Linked DNA regions of Struthio camelus. The protein of the gene in region 1 purifies or fractionates together with the protein of each later gene. This does not show direct contact. Links are inferred from orthologs where the notes say so. Each region holds a gene or a part of one and is shown on either strand. Other genes may lie near its edges.

Region 1 (7,114 bases):
CTCTTACTTGTTTCATCTCAGTCATGCACGTTAACAGAAGATCGTATGTTGTCTCTTAGCCGTGCTAGGAATGTCTTTGGCCCTTTTAGTCTCTCTTCATGTCTGTCTCAGCGAATTCTCTAAATATTTTTGTTGCTCTCCCTTGAATTCATTCATTACTGTCTATATTTGCCTGGAATGAGGGTGTTGAAAAATGAGCTATGATCTCATTGATGATGAGATCGTTGACGGGTTGATCGCTAGACTTGGGGGAGATGGTTTTGAATTTTTGCCATTGCTTGTCACTTCAGGTTACTCTCTCAATTATTACCTCTCAGGTAAATGATTCCTCCGAATCTTTCCTCCTCATTGGATTTCTGAGCTACTATGCCTAAATGTTTCGGCCCTCGTTTCTTTAGATTAAATAGTAACTTTAGTTAACTGCTTACGCTTCTGGGCTCAGAGAAGGCCGTTCCGTATCCTCTGTACAACCCTGTATGGAACAGTTCTTGCAACAGAACACCTTCTGTCTGAATCAGTGTCAACATGTTATTCATGTGTTCAGTGTGGTAGCCTCACAAAAGGAAAACGAAATTTTAGAAACAGCATTGCTTGAATCAGTAGAAATACTTGAATAGCGTCAAGATTGCAGCGTCTGGTCCTTAGTTCTCTTTTGCGAAAGCATTACCCAGCAACAAATGAAATGAAGCCAGCATAACCATTTAAAATAGCAAAGTAAACAGTTCATGTCGTAGTCAAGATAATCCTTAATTTCTGCTGCTTATCTGAGATCTGCCTTGCCGATCTGATGGGAGGATTTAACCTTCCTGAAAGCTGTTATTTGTGTATGTACTTGAACTGGGAAGACCTCTTTCCACCTGCTTTTCAGAGCCCTTTCTCCCAGAGGATTAACCCATACCGCTTTTAGAAAGAAAGCGTCTCTGAAATATGGATTATTTTTAGAGGGATATACTGTGAATATTTTTCTACAATACTTAGGAATTAAGGAAAATACTTTAAAAAATGCCCATTTAAAAGATCCGTATTTGTTTTTATTGAGGAACCATGTCGTCTCAAATAGTCTCTCTTAATTTCTGTCTTACAAAGATACATGTGTAATTGTGGAAATTAAAAAAGAATTGTTTGCTTATGGTTACTGCCAGTTGTGTAATCAACTCAGAAAATAAAAACTACAGAGAATTTTAATTACCAATTCCTTTGCATTATCTGGAAACTGGTTTTGTAATTTTCTGTTTCTCTTGGGATGCTCTGTGAAACACATAATGGCAGAGCAGATGGCCCATCTTCTATTTCAAAAAAGACAAGTAATATTCTGTTCAAAAGGAAGTCTGAGAGGGGTTTCACGGTGATAGGGGCTAGCCCAATCTAACATTTGGATCAAAACAAAAATCTGAGTAAGTTTAATAGGTTTAATGTATAATAACTCTTTTCACAAGTCAATGACTATTTCTGATGTTATCCTTACTATGTTTCTTAGCGCCTATTTTAGAAGGGAAAAAAAGCCACCTTTAAACTGAGAATCTCTAGTATATCTGTGCCTTTGGGAGGAGGGAAGAAAATCATTGTGTGGAGCTTCTTAAGGTTAGTAATAGTAAGACAAAGTAGATGTGGCCTGAAGTATGCAGCAAAAGCTCTCAGAAGAGGGAATGAGTCACTTGCCCTTGAACTCTGTGAATCTGAAACTATATTTATCATTTGCATTGTTCCCGAGTCGTGCATTTGTAGTTACACAATGAACAACTTGCATTCTCTGCCCTGAAAAGCTGAAACACATGCAGGGCAATTTCCAGGGAGAGAAGTTGAGGATTCATTTCCTGAAGGAAGTTTCAAGAGAAAGTTTGATGAGGAATGCTTGCATTGGGAGGTTAGTGATGTGAAGCTGATACTAAAAGATTAAATAAAGGAATAAAGCAATAGCATATGAAGTAAAAAAAAGGAAATGAGTAAAATAAAAGAGTTAATATAGGGTCAGAAATGTGTAACACGGGGTACTGTTATGAGGGAAGTATTTTTATTGTTAATGTAGTACTTTTTTTTTCCTTCCCTTTTTTATTTCCTTCCCCAGAATAATGTTCTGAACAGAAATCAGAAAAATAAACAGAAAGATCCAGATCACTGCATTTTGCATTCTTCCTCTTCTTCCCCCCTATAGCATAAGGGAGGAATTAGCCAAGTTTTTCAACTAGGTCAGTTGCTCACCAGCTGGTTTGTGAAAGAGTGCTGCTGTCGCAACAAAATTTCACCTTGGCAATGAAAATCAGCAGGGAATCTTTTAAGTGTTTGTAAGGCTGTGTGTTCAATTAGTGACCGAGTGGAAAGGTGCTTGCTGTCTCTGATCTCAGAATAGTGGTCCCCGCCGAGAGAAGGGAAAAGGGGCTGGAGATGCTTCTCTTCTTTGTTTAGAGTATTTCGAACAACGGAATTTTAAAAATGTTTCTTTAAGAGAAATAATAACATTGGGCTGCATGATGAAAGATGCAGTTATTGGCTTGCCAAGCAGCCTTAGCAAATGGAAACCCGGAGTTCATTCCAGGAAATGTAATAGGTAACACAATAAATATGTGAGAACTGTAGGTACTTTGCATTTTTGTATGTGAGGTAACTGTAACACAGGATTACACATCCCACAGTGATATTTCAAGTTTCCTTGTTCAGTGGGAAGTAAAACCGCTAGTGCACTGAGGCTCATTTTACAGGCGTAGATTATCAGCTCTCTTTGAATCCGCTTCCAAAAATTCTCATGGCTGTTGTGATGATTTATTAGCACAGGAAACTCCTGTGGGCATTTGTGCTACGGTGTAAGCACAAGCAAAGGCTCTTCTGAACACACGTTTATTACAATTATGTAAAACTTTAAGTGCATAGACAAGCAACTAACAAAAAAAAAACCCCAACTTGTGTTTTACATGGTTCTTTAAGAGCGATTTACTCTGCTTAGACAACTGTTGGTTCGGGAGGTAGAAAATAAAACGCCAGTATGTTTAGCGTGAAGCACTTCCGATAAGGTTTGCAGCAAGCTCGTTTTGACGCAGCACTACAGCCCTGCCCGGAGCACGAAGACAGAACAAGGAGTGAGCCTCAGCGCACGAGTTAAGTTGCTTGTAAGGAAATTCAGCAGTAGTTGCACCGGGCTCTGAAAGCGCCTTTGCTCAGAGCCTGACGGCCCCTGAGAAGGGGGAAAGCGACAGCAGTCCCAGCACGGGCTCCCATGCTGGCGTCGCCGGCCAAGAGAGATCTCCTCTTCCAGCGTCCTTGGTCACGACCCAGGCCGCTGGGATGCGGGCCGGCAGCCCCCAGTTCAGCAGCGGTTTCCTTCCCCGAGGCCCGGCCGGGCCCGCACCGGCCGCGACGCCCGCTCCGGCCCGCGGCAGCGTGACGTCACGCGCCGCGCCGCCGCCCGCGCAGGCGGCGGTTGGGCCGGCGCCGGGCTGCGAAGGAGCGAAGGAGGGGCGGCGCGGCCTTCGCTCTGACTGCGCGCCGGCCGCCGCGCTCCGTTCGTCCCGCTGCCCAGCTCTTCTCTCTCTGCTCGGGGAAGGGGGGGGGGCTGTAACCATGGCAACGCCAACGTGACACGAGCCAAGCCCGTTCCTAGCGCGTTTCACAAGAAACGGGAGTAGAAACGGGCGCTGGGGCGCTGCGAGGAGGCCCGGCGGCGCCGCACGGAATGTCGCCCCCCGCAGGTGCCCCCGTTGCCCCGGCCTCGCCCTCGGGGCCGCCGCAGCCGCCCGAAAATGGTGGCGGCGCGGCCCGGCCCGGCCGCTGGCGGCCCGCTGCCGTGTCCTCGCCCGCCCCCTCCTCCGCCAGCTGGCGCCCTTCTCGCCGGCTCCCGGCGGAGCTCCCGCCCCGCGCAGGCGGCCTCAGGCGCCCAGACCCCGGTGCACCGCGGCGGCCCGGCCTGCCGCCGGGGCGTGGCCGAGCCGGAGTGGCGTTGGCGCTGGCCAATGAGGGAGCCGGCTGGCTGACAGTTAGGCGGGCGCCGCCAATGAGGGAGGCGCGGGGGCGGGCTCGGCGCGGCGCGAGCGGCGCGGCAGGCGGCCGGCTGGGGCACTCGGCGGAGGGAAGTGGCGCAGCATGATGCGGCTGTGGCGCTCGGCGCTGCTGCGGGAGCTGCTGCGGCTCAACCAGCCGCCGGGCCCCGCCGCCGGCCCCGCCCGCCTCCCGCCGCCGCTGGCCGCCTTCGGCGCCAGCCCGCCCGCCTCCCGCCGCCGCCCGGCGCTGCCGACGGCGCGGGGGCTCTGCACCCGCTCGGAGGGGGCCCTGGAGGAGCCGGGGAAGGCGGCGCAGCAGCCGCCGGCGCCCCCCGCCGAGCCCCCCTCCCCCGCCGGCGGCCCCAACAACAACCACGGCGGCGGCGGCGGCAAGGAGCTGGCCGGAGGCGGCGGCGGCGAGAAGTGAGTGCGGCGGGGCGGGGCGTGCGGCGGCGGCGCCATGTGAGCGGCGCCCTGCGCGGGGGGCCGGCGGGGGGGCCCGGGGCAGGTGCGGGGCATCGCCGCCCCCCCCCTCCCTTCCGCCCTCCGCGCCCCCCCCCACCCCTCCTCCGCGGCCGCCGCAGGGTCCTGCCGCCGCCGGCCGCGGCGAGTGCGGGGCGTGGGGCGGGCGTCGCGGTGCCCGCGCGGTGTTCGGGCCGCTCTGCGTGGGCCGCTGGCGCGGGAGGCGGCCGCGGAGGTCGGTGGGGTCCAGCCGGCTGTGAAAGGCGGCCTAGGAGCGTAGCCGCAGGCGGGCAGGAGATGTGCGCGCGTGGGGCGGGGCAGCATCGTTTCCCTTCCCCCCCCCCCCACGCGCCGTGCCCGCGCGCACGTGCTCGAAGTCGCTTCCCCGTCCTGGCGCCGCCGCCGGGCTCGGGGTCGGCGCCGCGTCCCCGGGAGGAGGCCGGTGGGGCGTTGTGGTTGTTTGTTGGTGGTGTGTGTTTGTTTTTTTTTTCCCCCTAGGGCTGCTGTTTGCATAAGGTGCTTTTTCGCGAGAAGTTAGAGCTGCGTCATCTTCCAGTAGTAGTTGAGGTAGCGGCGTAGGTCTGCCTTGGGAGTTGTACAGCGGTGTCTTCAGCATGCCTATCCGCGTCTGGTGTGCTTAGGGGTAGGTGCCAGGTGGCGGTACGGGCAAGCGTTTACGGGGCGCTACAGCCTGTGTCCCTCTGCCAGGGAGGTCCCGATTTGTGCCTAGGTGACAAAGGTACGTGAAGGTGTGAGAATGATACCTTGAAGTTCGTATTCCTTCAGCTAGAACTTCAAATACTCCTGCAAGAATGGGTCGGGGCAGGCATAGCGACTCCCGTTTGTGTCCCTAGTGATGACCAGCAGCAGCTACCTGGGACAGAGGATAATGACAAGGCAAACATAGCGATGACTCTCTTGAATGCTCTGTTAGCCTCCAGCGTTATGCAGTTCTGCAAAGAGTCTCTTGGGAAAAAAAAAAATTGTTTTTGCCTCCTAGTTTGTTCCTTAGCTTTTTTGAGCCTGTGTACACTTTGTATCTTTGTTAACCTCTTAGAAAAAGTGTAACAGCCTAGCTGCAAGCCCTGTGAAGACCCATCCCCTTCATGCTTGTTTGGGACCTGCCCCTTGGCTTTCTCACAGACTGCCCACGTGTCGACTTCCCTGTGCCCTGTATAGGGAGGTGTAAATAAAATCTGTAAAACCAAGCTTCTTTCCCATGCTTTGCTGCATGTATTAGCTGGAAGAAGAAAGGCAAAAAAGGGAGGGAGTAAGACCAAGACAGGGTATGGTGCTTTGACAGTGAGAGAAGTCATTGTTAACCTACTGCTACGAGGCAGTCTGGAAGAGATTCTACGAGGTCGGTCTGGAAGGCTTCAGCCCTTAGCTTGGTAATAGTTTTAGTTTTGGGAGCGTTTTTTAGTATGAGCTTGTACTCACTCGTCCAGTCTGGTAGCAGAGGAAAGAATCTATCTTGTTTTTCTTTTCCCCCTCCTCCCACCAAATATTTTGCTGCTTGGCTTGGTTCAAGCCTTTTGTTTCAGTGGCATACTGCCTTCTTTAAAGGCTTCAAGTGTAATTTCTGCTGTCAAACTGCTTTTAAAAAAAAAAGTGTATACACATGCATGTCAGATTATGTAACCATGCATGATAATACATATCATATATATATTTTATTGTTATTAGATTATATTGTTTGGTACATTGTTGTATATGAAGCCTGTGGTTTGAATTAGTTTTATGCATAATGTTTTGGAACAAAAAAATTACTTCAAAGGTGGTTCAAGTAGGTGTGGTTTATAAAGTTTATTCTTTCATTTTCAATGAGAAATACATACAGTGCCACTAAAAACTTCAAAAAAAAAACCCACTGTAAAGGGTTTTCTTTGAATTATTAAATAATATGTATTTCATAGCAGACCTTATGTTGGAAAGGTGATATATCCAAAAGGTGATGTTTTCTTAAACTGAGTATTTATAACTATTTCCCTAATTGACAGAACTTGTATTATTTCTAATACATTTGGAAAAGCTGTACGGTCATGAACCGATTAAACACTTAAAAAAAATTTTTTTTCCTTTGACAACCGGATGTGTTTGAAAGTCAGATGCTTGTTCTTTGAGCCTTGCCTCCAAATATACAAAGAACAATTATCTAAAGCATTGAAAAAAAGGATAGCTGTGCATTTAGTTAGGAACAAAAACAGTTTCTTTTCAGTTCAGGCTGTGCAGGAATTCCTGGTGGCCCATTAGCCAAACTTCTGGCTAACGTGGATCAGCCAAACTGCTGGACGCTTTCGTTCTTCTTTTCCTCAATGCAGGATCGTGACGGTCTTCCTTAAGCATCTCTATGTGGTACAGAGCATGTGGAAGTCATTGCTGTGTTCAGGCAGGGTGTAGGATTTGGAAGGAACGTGAAGATCTCTCGGATGCTGGACTGACTTGGCAACCGGTCTGAGTTAGTCCAGTCTGTGTTCCGATTCCAGCGCCTTGCCATCCTGTCATTCGCACTGGAGTTGTTTTGCAGATGGATTGCGGACAACAATCTTTTTTTGCTCTTTTGCTCTTCTGTTATCAAGTCATGGTTCTGGGAAACTGGAATAACCTGCGATGTCAAAAGACAGAACTGAGATTTTTCTTCCTTGTTTGCTTGCTTAACAGTCTTGTGCAAAGAGAGTAGTAGT
Region 2 (8,225 bases), on another chromosome or scaffold:
CCCAGAGTTGTTTGCAAAAGCATTAGTTTGCCCAAACAGCTGATAAACCAAACAGCAAAAAGGAAGCTGCAGCTGCACAAAGCAGCCACAACAGGGCATGGGGAAGACACACAAACACGACTGTAGGGAGAGCTCTGTCACTATCAAAACACTGTTGGGAGCACTTCAACACTTTAAGGTACCTAGGTTTTCCTGACTCATTGTACTTACCTACTTGACTGATTAAAAAAAACAGACACGCGCCATGAGTACCTACCTGTGCTGGCCACTTTCTCCAGAAACCTCCAGCCCCTCTGAAGGTAGGAACTCCGCTCTCAGCGCTAACACCAGCTCCCGTAATAATGGCTATGTGCTTTGCTTTGGCAAACACTTCTCGAAAATCAGCCATATCTAAACGTTGAGGAGGGGAAAAAAAAAAAAGGCTGTTCAAACATTTGCACTTTTATTCAAGAGGTCATTTGGGTAGTACTGGCAAACGTATGCATCCAGAAATGGCTACCACATACACCTACCATAACTTTACCTTCAGAATAGTAATTTTTTTCTAAGCTTCTGTATACTGGAACGAGAAGGGCACTTCTTTGAGATGCTCAGAAATACTTACAAACAAACGCAGTGGGGCAATATGCATTGAACTGTGAATATATTCTATATTTGAAAGATAGAAGTCTTAAACTAAAACCTTATGCTAGATGGTGCAATGATGACAACAGCAGCCACCACCACCCAGGAACAGTTTGCTTCCTAACTGTAAGGTAGGATCCTGGGATGAAAGAAATCTAGTCTTCACAAACATTTAGTTACAAAATATCACCTTGAAAATTATGGTAATTTGGGGAAAAAATGTTTCCTTCCAAAACATCTTGCCCACTTCGTAGGTTCGAAATTGTATTTTCTATCTTTAATATATATTCCCTACATTTTTCCCTGTACAGTAAACCAACTTGGGAGAAAGATGGGAGATTTCTTTCCCAGTTTAGTAAGGGCCAAAGCAAGATCAAAAAGGAAAATATAGAGAGACAAAAAGCCCTCTTTCAGTCTTTCTTGGATGTTAGCTTTAAAGCAACACATTCTAGAATCATAGAATCGCTGAGGCTGGCCTCTGGAGATCGTCTAGTTAATGTGATTGCACGTAACCCCCTGCTCAGAGCAGGACCATCTAGGGCAGGTTGCTCAGGACCTTGTCCAGTCAGATTTTAAATGTCTCCAAGGACGGAGACTCCACAGCCTCCCTGGGCTACCCGCTCCACTGTTTGACCAACCCCAGAGTAAAAACAAAAAAGACTTCACGACTAGACTAGACTAAACAAAGCTTCTGGAGTTACCTAACGCCCTGCTCCTGAGTTGTTATAAACGCTTGAGGCCCTCCATAATTCTCCTCCATAAAGAAGCGAGAGAGTGAATTTCAATACCCATTAGGAACATGAAAAGGAAAGTATACACTTACGTGTATAAATTTCAGATACTAAAAACATCAACAGGCAACTACACTGACTGCAACTATGTGAGGGTTTTTGGAACCATACAAGTTTATAGGTATGGTTGACAAATTTCACCCACTAGAAAAAAAATCAACTTCACACTTTCCTAAACCTTAAAAGAACCTACGTTTTTGAATTAAACTATAGACTTTGCCTATTACATGAAACTCTCTGGAGTTTCAAGTCTAGTTTAACACCCGTTTAATATACTAAAAGAAACAAATGTATATCTTACTTGAACTAGGACGAGCCATTTCCAAGCAAAACCGCTGTTTCTTTGAAGAAAAAGGCTTAAGTCCACAGTATGCTTGGGAAACCAGCCTTCTAGTGGTAAACTGAAAGAGACTCATCAGCATCACTTCAAAGTGCTTTATCTGAAGAAAATACAATAAATGAAACACAAGTGAGCCATTTAGTGAGCATATTCCTGTAGGGTCTCTGTATCACAAATAAAGAGGGGAGTATAAACACTATTCATGCTTTTCTCCTGCACTTCATTCAGCCAAGTGAAGTTTTATGTATGAGACGTATTCATGACCACAGTATTTCTTAATTGCAAGATAAAACAAAACACTTGCTGAGATTTAACAGGTCTGCCTTTTCTTTCTTTTGGAGATAAAGGCTATCATAGCATCTTTGAATTCTCCCTCTGTGCTGCAAAACGCAGATGTCACAAACGTGAGATCCAAAATTGGAGTGACCACTTCTGCTTCGTTTTGCTTCCAGTTAGGAATGAGCGGAAGAAAATTGGGTCTGTGCAAAGACTGCTGAGCCCTTAAATACATTCACTACAGCATAAAAACACACTGCTACAATTTTCTGTGCAATATTTAACTTAACGCGATGCTTTTAAATTTGCAGACTTATGCAAGAGTAATTTCCTGGGTGGGACTGTTAATTCCTTTTTTTTTTTTTTTTTAAAGATGAAAAGCAGACAGACATCAACGCGCACATGCTAGAGAGGCTTCAGAACGGGACAAAGCTACTGCAGCTTCTGCCTTGGCTGGGGACTTTGCGGTCCAGGGCTCTTCAGGCAAAGAAAGAGGTGCCTTCGGCCTGAGCCGGCGAGGCAGGGCAAAGCAGCCGGCGTCCGGCAGCGCCGTGCCGACCCCTCGCCAATTCCTGCCTTTGAACTGTAGCAGTTCTGCTCTCAGGACAGGAGGCCGCCACCTCTTTTGCACCCGCAGCGTACAACCCCCTCCGCATCGTGCAACTCTTGCAAGCGATTCAACGTGAAGGAAATCAACGCGCATATATCATCATCTAACGTCCTCTTGGCTGCTAAACGGGGTTCGTCCTATCAGGAACGTACGTGCTCTCAGCTATACAAAAGTAAAAGGGAAGCGCAGAAAAGCGTTTTTACATTTATGCTCACCACAGGCAAAACGCATTCGTCCGGCCCCTCCCTCTCTTTTAATCCTTCCTGGGCATTTAAAAGCCACCGAAATATTCTCCAGTTCTAGAGGACGTGTGCTCGCCGAGGTTTCCGTCGGAGAGGACCTCCCCTCTCCCTTCCGAGGTCGCAGGAGGCAGGAATCCAGCACCCAGGCTCGCAGCGCCGCTTCCCCGACCGCGCGCGGCCCTCACCCCGGCGCCGCGGCGGCAGCCGCCCGCTCCCCGCCCCCGGCGCCGCAGCGAGGCCCAGGACGCCGCTGCCGCCGCGCACCCACCTCTGCGGCGAGCCCGAGCGGAGGCCGCGGCCGGGCGGGGAGGCGGCGGCGGCGGAGGCCGATCCGTGCGGAGCGGCACGTCCCGCCCGCCGGCAGCGGGGCCGCCCCGGGGGCGGCGCTGCCGCAGCTCCCGGCGCAGCGACGTGATCGCCTCTGCGTGCGCGGTGGCTCTGGAAGCGGCGCTTGGGGGAGGAATTTAAAGAAAAAAATAAATAAATAAATTAGAAATGCATGCCGGCAAAGCTAAAGGCCGAGGTTTTGCAATGACGTTGCCATGCAAGTGTATTTGAACAGCGCTATCTCTTGGTTATGTACCACAAAACGTTTAGGCGCTAAGGCCAAAGAGGCAAGCTGGGCCACAGCCTGGCGCCCAAGAGCGGGGAAAGGATAATCCTCCTTCCCCCTTTTTAAAGCCCTGCTCTCAGCAACCTAGCAGAGAGTCTGAGCCAGCGGTCGCGTTTTTCCATTTACCAGATGGCGTTTAATAATGTTACTCCCCTAATCCCGTAGTGGCTCCACCTTGGAGCGAGGGCTGCGTGGGACCGCGCATCCCGGGGCGCCCAGCCGCCAGCAAGGGGAGAGCCCCCGCAGCACAGCCGGCCGGGCAGAGAACCGCCCGCTGCAGCCCCCCGCCTTAGGTTCAGTTCCTGAAGCTTAATACACTCAAACCTTATACACGTTATGGCTAAGCATTTTTCGTACCGCTTCAGTTTGCCTAACAGCATAAATAGGAAGCACACTTTTTCCCTTTTTCTATCTACTAAAAATATTTTATCTTCTTCAAAGCCATGTCTGCGTTTCTCTAATAAGACTATATAATCACACTCTCTCCACGTTCTTAAAAATTACCTATGTAACATGCTGATTCTTGCAGGGCTGCACAAGGAAATGTAACATTCAAGTATTCTGGTAGGGTTGTGTATTCCAAATACACTTCATTAGGGCGACTGACCAGAGTCCACATTTGGTTTTAAGGCAGGGTCTGGGCAGGAGAGGATGGAGGGCAACCAACTTCCGTGGAATCACAGCTTCCCTCTGAACACTGCCATGTACTTTTCCTTTTCTACTTTAGTGGCTTGTGCAATGTCAGAATTAGCACATATTAGATTAAATTATACACAAGTGTATTTGAAAAGCTAGATGCTTCTCCAGAGTCATCAGTTTGAGGTCCAGTCTCAGGCATTAACAGTTTGCATGTTAATCAACAAGACTCCTGTACACTGCTAGACTAACACCACTTAGGCATTCACAACATTAAAAAAAAAAAAAAAAAAAGACAGCTTAATTCACAGTTTCCACAGTCTTTAGGAAGCAAGCTGTTTGTACCTTGTTTTCCTGTAGAAACAAGCCATAGCAATTGCTTTCATCCATCCTCTTTCTTTCCACCCTTCCCAAATTTTCATTCTCTTCAGCTTCTTTTCAATCAATTTGAGATATCATTTCAAAACGTTCAGCTCAACAGATGAGAAGTCCCCTAAAACGTGCACCCCATCATAAGACAGATTGAAATGCAAGTTCTGCCATTACAGCAGAAGTACTGCTCAAGCCTACACCCTGCTAATCAGCCCCCACAACCAGGCAGCAGCTCTTGCCTCTGACCCAGCCGGTACCTGCAGGACATAAAGAGTTATCAGTGGGAAGCAGGAGGGACAGGCAAAACGTCAGAAGCACTTATGCACAGTGTAGGGGAAGAGAACATACAGCTGCTGGTCCCCCTGGTTTACAGCCTACCTTTCATTCGTTACACTTTTCACGGGGCTACTCTTTACTTACGTCACAGCATTTAATATCCTGCCTTCAGTTGCAAATGTCAAGGAAGTCTTTTGCAGGGGAATATTTGAAACAATGAGAAGTACTGATTAAACATTGTGCTTTTGGTTTTTGGGGTGCATCAGCTGTTTCAGTTCTCTGAATGCTTTGGCTGAATCTTCATGAAAGCACCTAGCTTGAAAAAAAAAAATAGTAGCAAATTCAGAAAACAAGATAAAGACCAGTACGATCTGATTTAACACTGTAACCATCTTGATGATTAAAATTACATAATACTATTTGGATTAACCAACTCACTGAGATGACAGGTTTGTTCTGCCAGCTCAGACAAATGACAGGCTGGTTCTACTCTGTATTGTTCAGTATTATATTTGCAGTTGGTTTATTTTTAAACCTAGGGCTTAGCATGGATTGTATATTCTGCTTATTAGACAGTGTCTATTAGATGCTAGTTAAGATAATATTTTATAAAAACCAAAGAAAAACAATACGCAGTTGGACAGTCACCATGGCCAAAATTCACCGCATTCTTCAGTTGATTATGAAGTTCAATACACCAAACTGTTACTCTGACATTACTAATAGAAAAAGTGCTTCTCTATTTAAGCAACAAAGTTTGAGGAGCAAATCAAATAAAATGCCTGCATTTTCACATTATTGCATTGCACTCATTAAGTAAGTTCATCCTAACTTTACATTAACCTCGGGCAGGACATGTCAGCATGGAAGGTTCGCAGAAGTACAGGTCTTTCAATAGTAAGAGAAGCCATGAGAGCATAAGTTATGCCAAATGTGTATAGTACACAAATAGGTTGGCTTGTTTAGGTTTCTCTGGCATTTATAGATTGTATACCAAAAGAAGCACAATTATTCCAGTGTTTCTTGAGCAACCATGTATTCTATGTTCTCAACAGCCTAAAACAATGAACAGCCTGGTGTGTCTGATGCTAACCTGGTAGAAGTACTACATCTTTGCCCTAAGAAAATAACCCCATTAACTTTCAAAATTGTTTATGCTGTCCTAAGAGAAATATATCTGGGTGAGTGAGCGAGTATGTGAGACAGTGAGAGAGACACACACAGAGTGGGTGCATGTGTGGGAGACTATTTTTAGGAAGATTGAAGTGACATCTAAAATTAATTTCAAGATGGTGGGTTGAGTGTAGATACTTGGCAGAGTTGTAGGATCACCTGCTGTCCTTGATAAAATGCTTTTGCATACAGTGGTTCTTTTATTACGGTAATTTCCTCCAACAGCAGTATCATTAATGCAGTGAGAGCAACCCTAGGTGAATATCAGAAATATGAAAGGATCTGCAAAGATGCTTGTCCCACCAAAATCAATTCCATAAGCACATAAGAATCCTCGCTCAGAGTCGCCAAAAGCAGTGTCAAGGGCAAACACACTCAATTTCCCCCACCAGCTGCCAACTGTGTTCTGCTCAGTTGGGGCTTTGACATAGTTAGTAATGAACCTAGCTCCTAGGAACGTGTCCAGGCTCCCCTTGACCCGCGCCACCCGTTGGCAGGAGTTGCACAGCACCGCTCCCCCACCTCTGAAGGGGGGGGAAAACCAGCAGCTGAGGAACAGAGGTGTATCCCCATGAGCTATTCTCATCTTAGGCCGGTCAGTGATAAAACGGATTAATACCATCCGGTCTTCTACTCTGAGCATCTTATCCTTCAGCGTATTTACAAAGTACTTTGAATCTGAGCACCATGAACCAGTAACAGCATCAAGTTTAAACCTAATTGTATCAAATACAAGCAAAACGTTTTCTTTAAAATCCCAAGTAAACAGTCTGTATTCTAACACACAAAAGGTTTGTACCACTTAAATACAGTATGGCAGTATATAAATTACAGTTCTTTACAGCAAATAGTAAAATACTAGAGTCCGCTTACTGTACACAACAATCAAAGAACAAACAGCAGCTTTTCAGTAAGGTCCCAGATATCTCATTCATTCACTTGCTAAGAAACAAAGAACAGATACAGCAGGCCATTCACTTCACTCATTTTTACCATGTTACTTTACAAATAACCAGAACACTTGTACAGGCATCTACAGTATCTACATGTGGAACAACCTTCTTAGGAATTCATGAGCACCATACATAAATCCCTCCATTATTCCCATTATTAAAATAAACTTTACAGGTTAAGATTACTTTAGCAGGCTCTATTTCATCTTGATAATAACCAGCAAGTAACAAGTGCAAAGTTTGCAGTCATGATCCATTTACTGCTTCTTTGTCTCCCTGTTCCCTCCCCCACCAAAAAAAAACACCCAAAACCTCACAGTGTTGTCCTCTCATACCCTTGCAGTAATACTGTTTCTGCAGTCAAACTGCCCAGCTGGCTTATGTTAACTTATGAAATGCCAGACTTACAGCTTCAGGCATTGTTAGTCTTTTCAATGCAATGCCAAGTCAGCACAGTGGCAGGCCTCTAGGAAGACAAAAAAATATGAAGCAGTCAGATATTTCAGTGTGCTTAAACACAGAACATAAGGCAGCATGGTGCCCAGTGACTAAAAGAAACATGGCACCAAGCTATGAGTTAAAACACTTACAATAGAAAGATATAAACAGCAAATGTGTCAGTCTAAAACAAGTTCTTTGGTAATTAAGAACAGCAAACCGTAGTGGTTTTTTTTGTTTTTCAAATACGGATTTACATCCTTGTTTTTCCACAATAAAATATTTTCTTTGTTGTTTAAAATATATCTCCCAAGTTGTTGTGTAACAAACAGTCCAGTACCTCAGTTATCTACAGATCAGCTTTAACTGTATTTTAGTGTGCAGCCATATCTGCTCCGTGGCAGACAAACTATAGATACACATTCATATATATATAATATATATATTATTTATAAAAAATTAGGGAATTAAGTCAAGGACTCTAGAGAGTACACATTCGGTATGGACAGATTAAAATGTACAATAGCTTCAAAAATCCATAGTTTTCTACACAGCGATGTGTGTAGTAAGTGCAAAAATACTGCAGTTTAGTTAATCCAAGATTTCCTGTTTTCCTGCTTCCTAGAAAAAGCAGAAGCCGCCGCATCTCCTGAATGACAGAGGACATCTCCTCCTGTTTTAGAAGCAGATGATGACCCTTGAAGTAGAGAACTTCTCCGTTTCTCTGAAGTGGAAGATGCCTGAGATCGTGAAGTGCTACTTGATTTCTTTGAGGAAGCTGGTGCTTTACTGAGGCGTCCTGGACGAACAAACACACCGTGTCGTGGTTTGCAGCGGAAGTACTCTCTGCCTTTTACAGTTCCATCGTGCTTCCCTTCAAT

What was found.
Region 2: the proteins of GLS (region 1) and SIRT5 purify together in Homo sapiens (affinity purification with western blotting; 3 studies listed by BioGRID and IntAct, with this or other methods). This does not show direct contact. The link is inferred for Struthio camelus from reciprocal best matches to the Homo sapiens genes GLS and SIRT5.

What each region holds. Positions count from the first base shown.
Region 1 is NC_090947.1:14,526,049-14,533,162, reverse strand, and holds the start of GLS (glutaminase kidney isoform, mitochondrial), read left to right. Parts: upstream 1-4,056; 5' UTR 4,057-4,071; coding exon 4,072-4,391; intron 4,392-5,027; exon of another isoform or gene 5,028-5,073; intron 5,074-7,114. UniProt on the Homo sapiens protein: Catalyzes the first reaction in the primary pathway for the renal catabolism of glutamine. Plays a role in maintaining acid-base homeostasis. Regulates the levels of the neurotransmitter glutamate, the main excitatory neurotransmitter in the brain.
Region 2 is NC_090943.1:97,878,100-97,886,324, reverse strand, and holds the start of SIRT5 (NAD-dependent protein deacylase sirtuin-5, mitochondrial), read right to left. Parts: upstream 3,263-8,225; 5' UTR 3,152-3,262; exon of another isoform or gene 2,845-3,151; intron 1,856-2,844; 5' UTR 1,838-1,855; coding exon 1,717-1,837; intron 391-1,716; coding exon 257-390; intron 1-256. Other genes in the region: kinesin-like protein KIF13A, read right to left, coding at 7,932-8,218. UniProt on the Homo sapiens protein: NAD-dependent lysine demalonylase, desuccinylase and deglutarylase that specifically removes malonyl, succinyl and glutaryl groups on target proteins.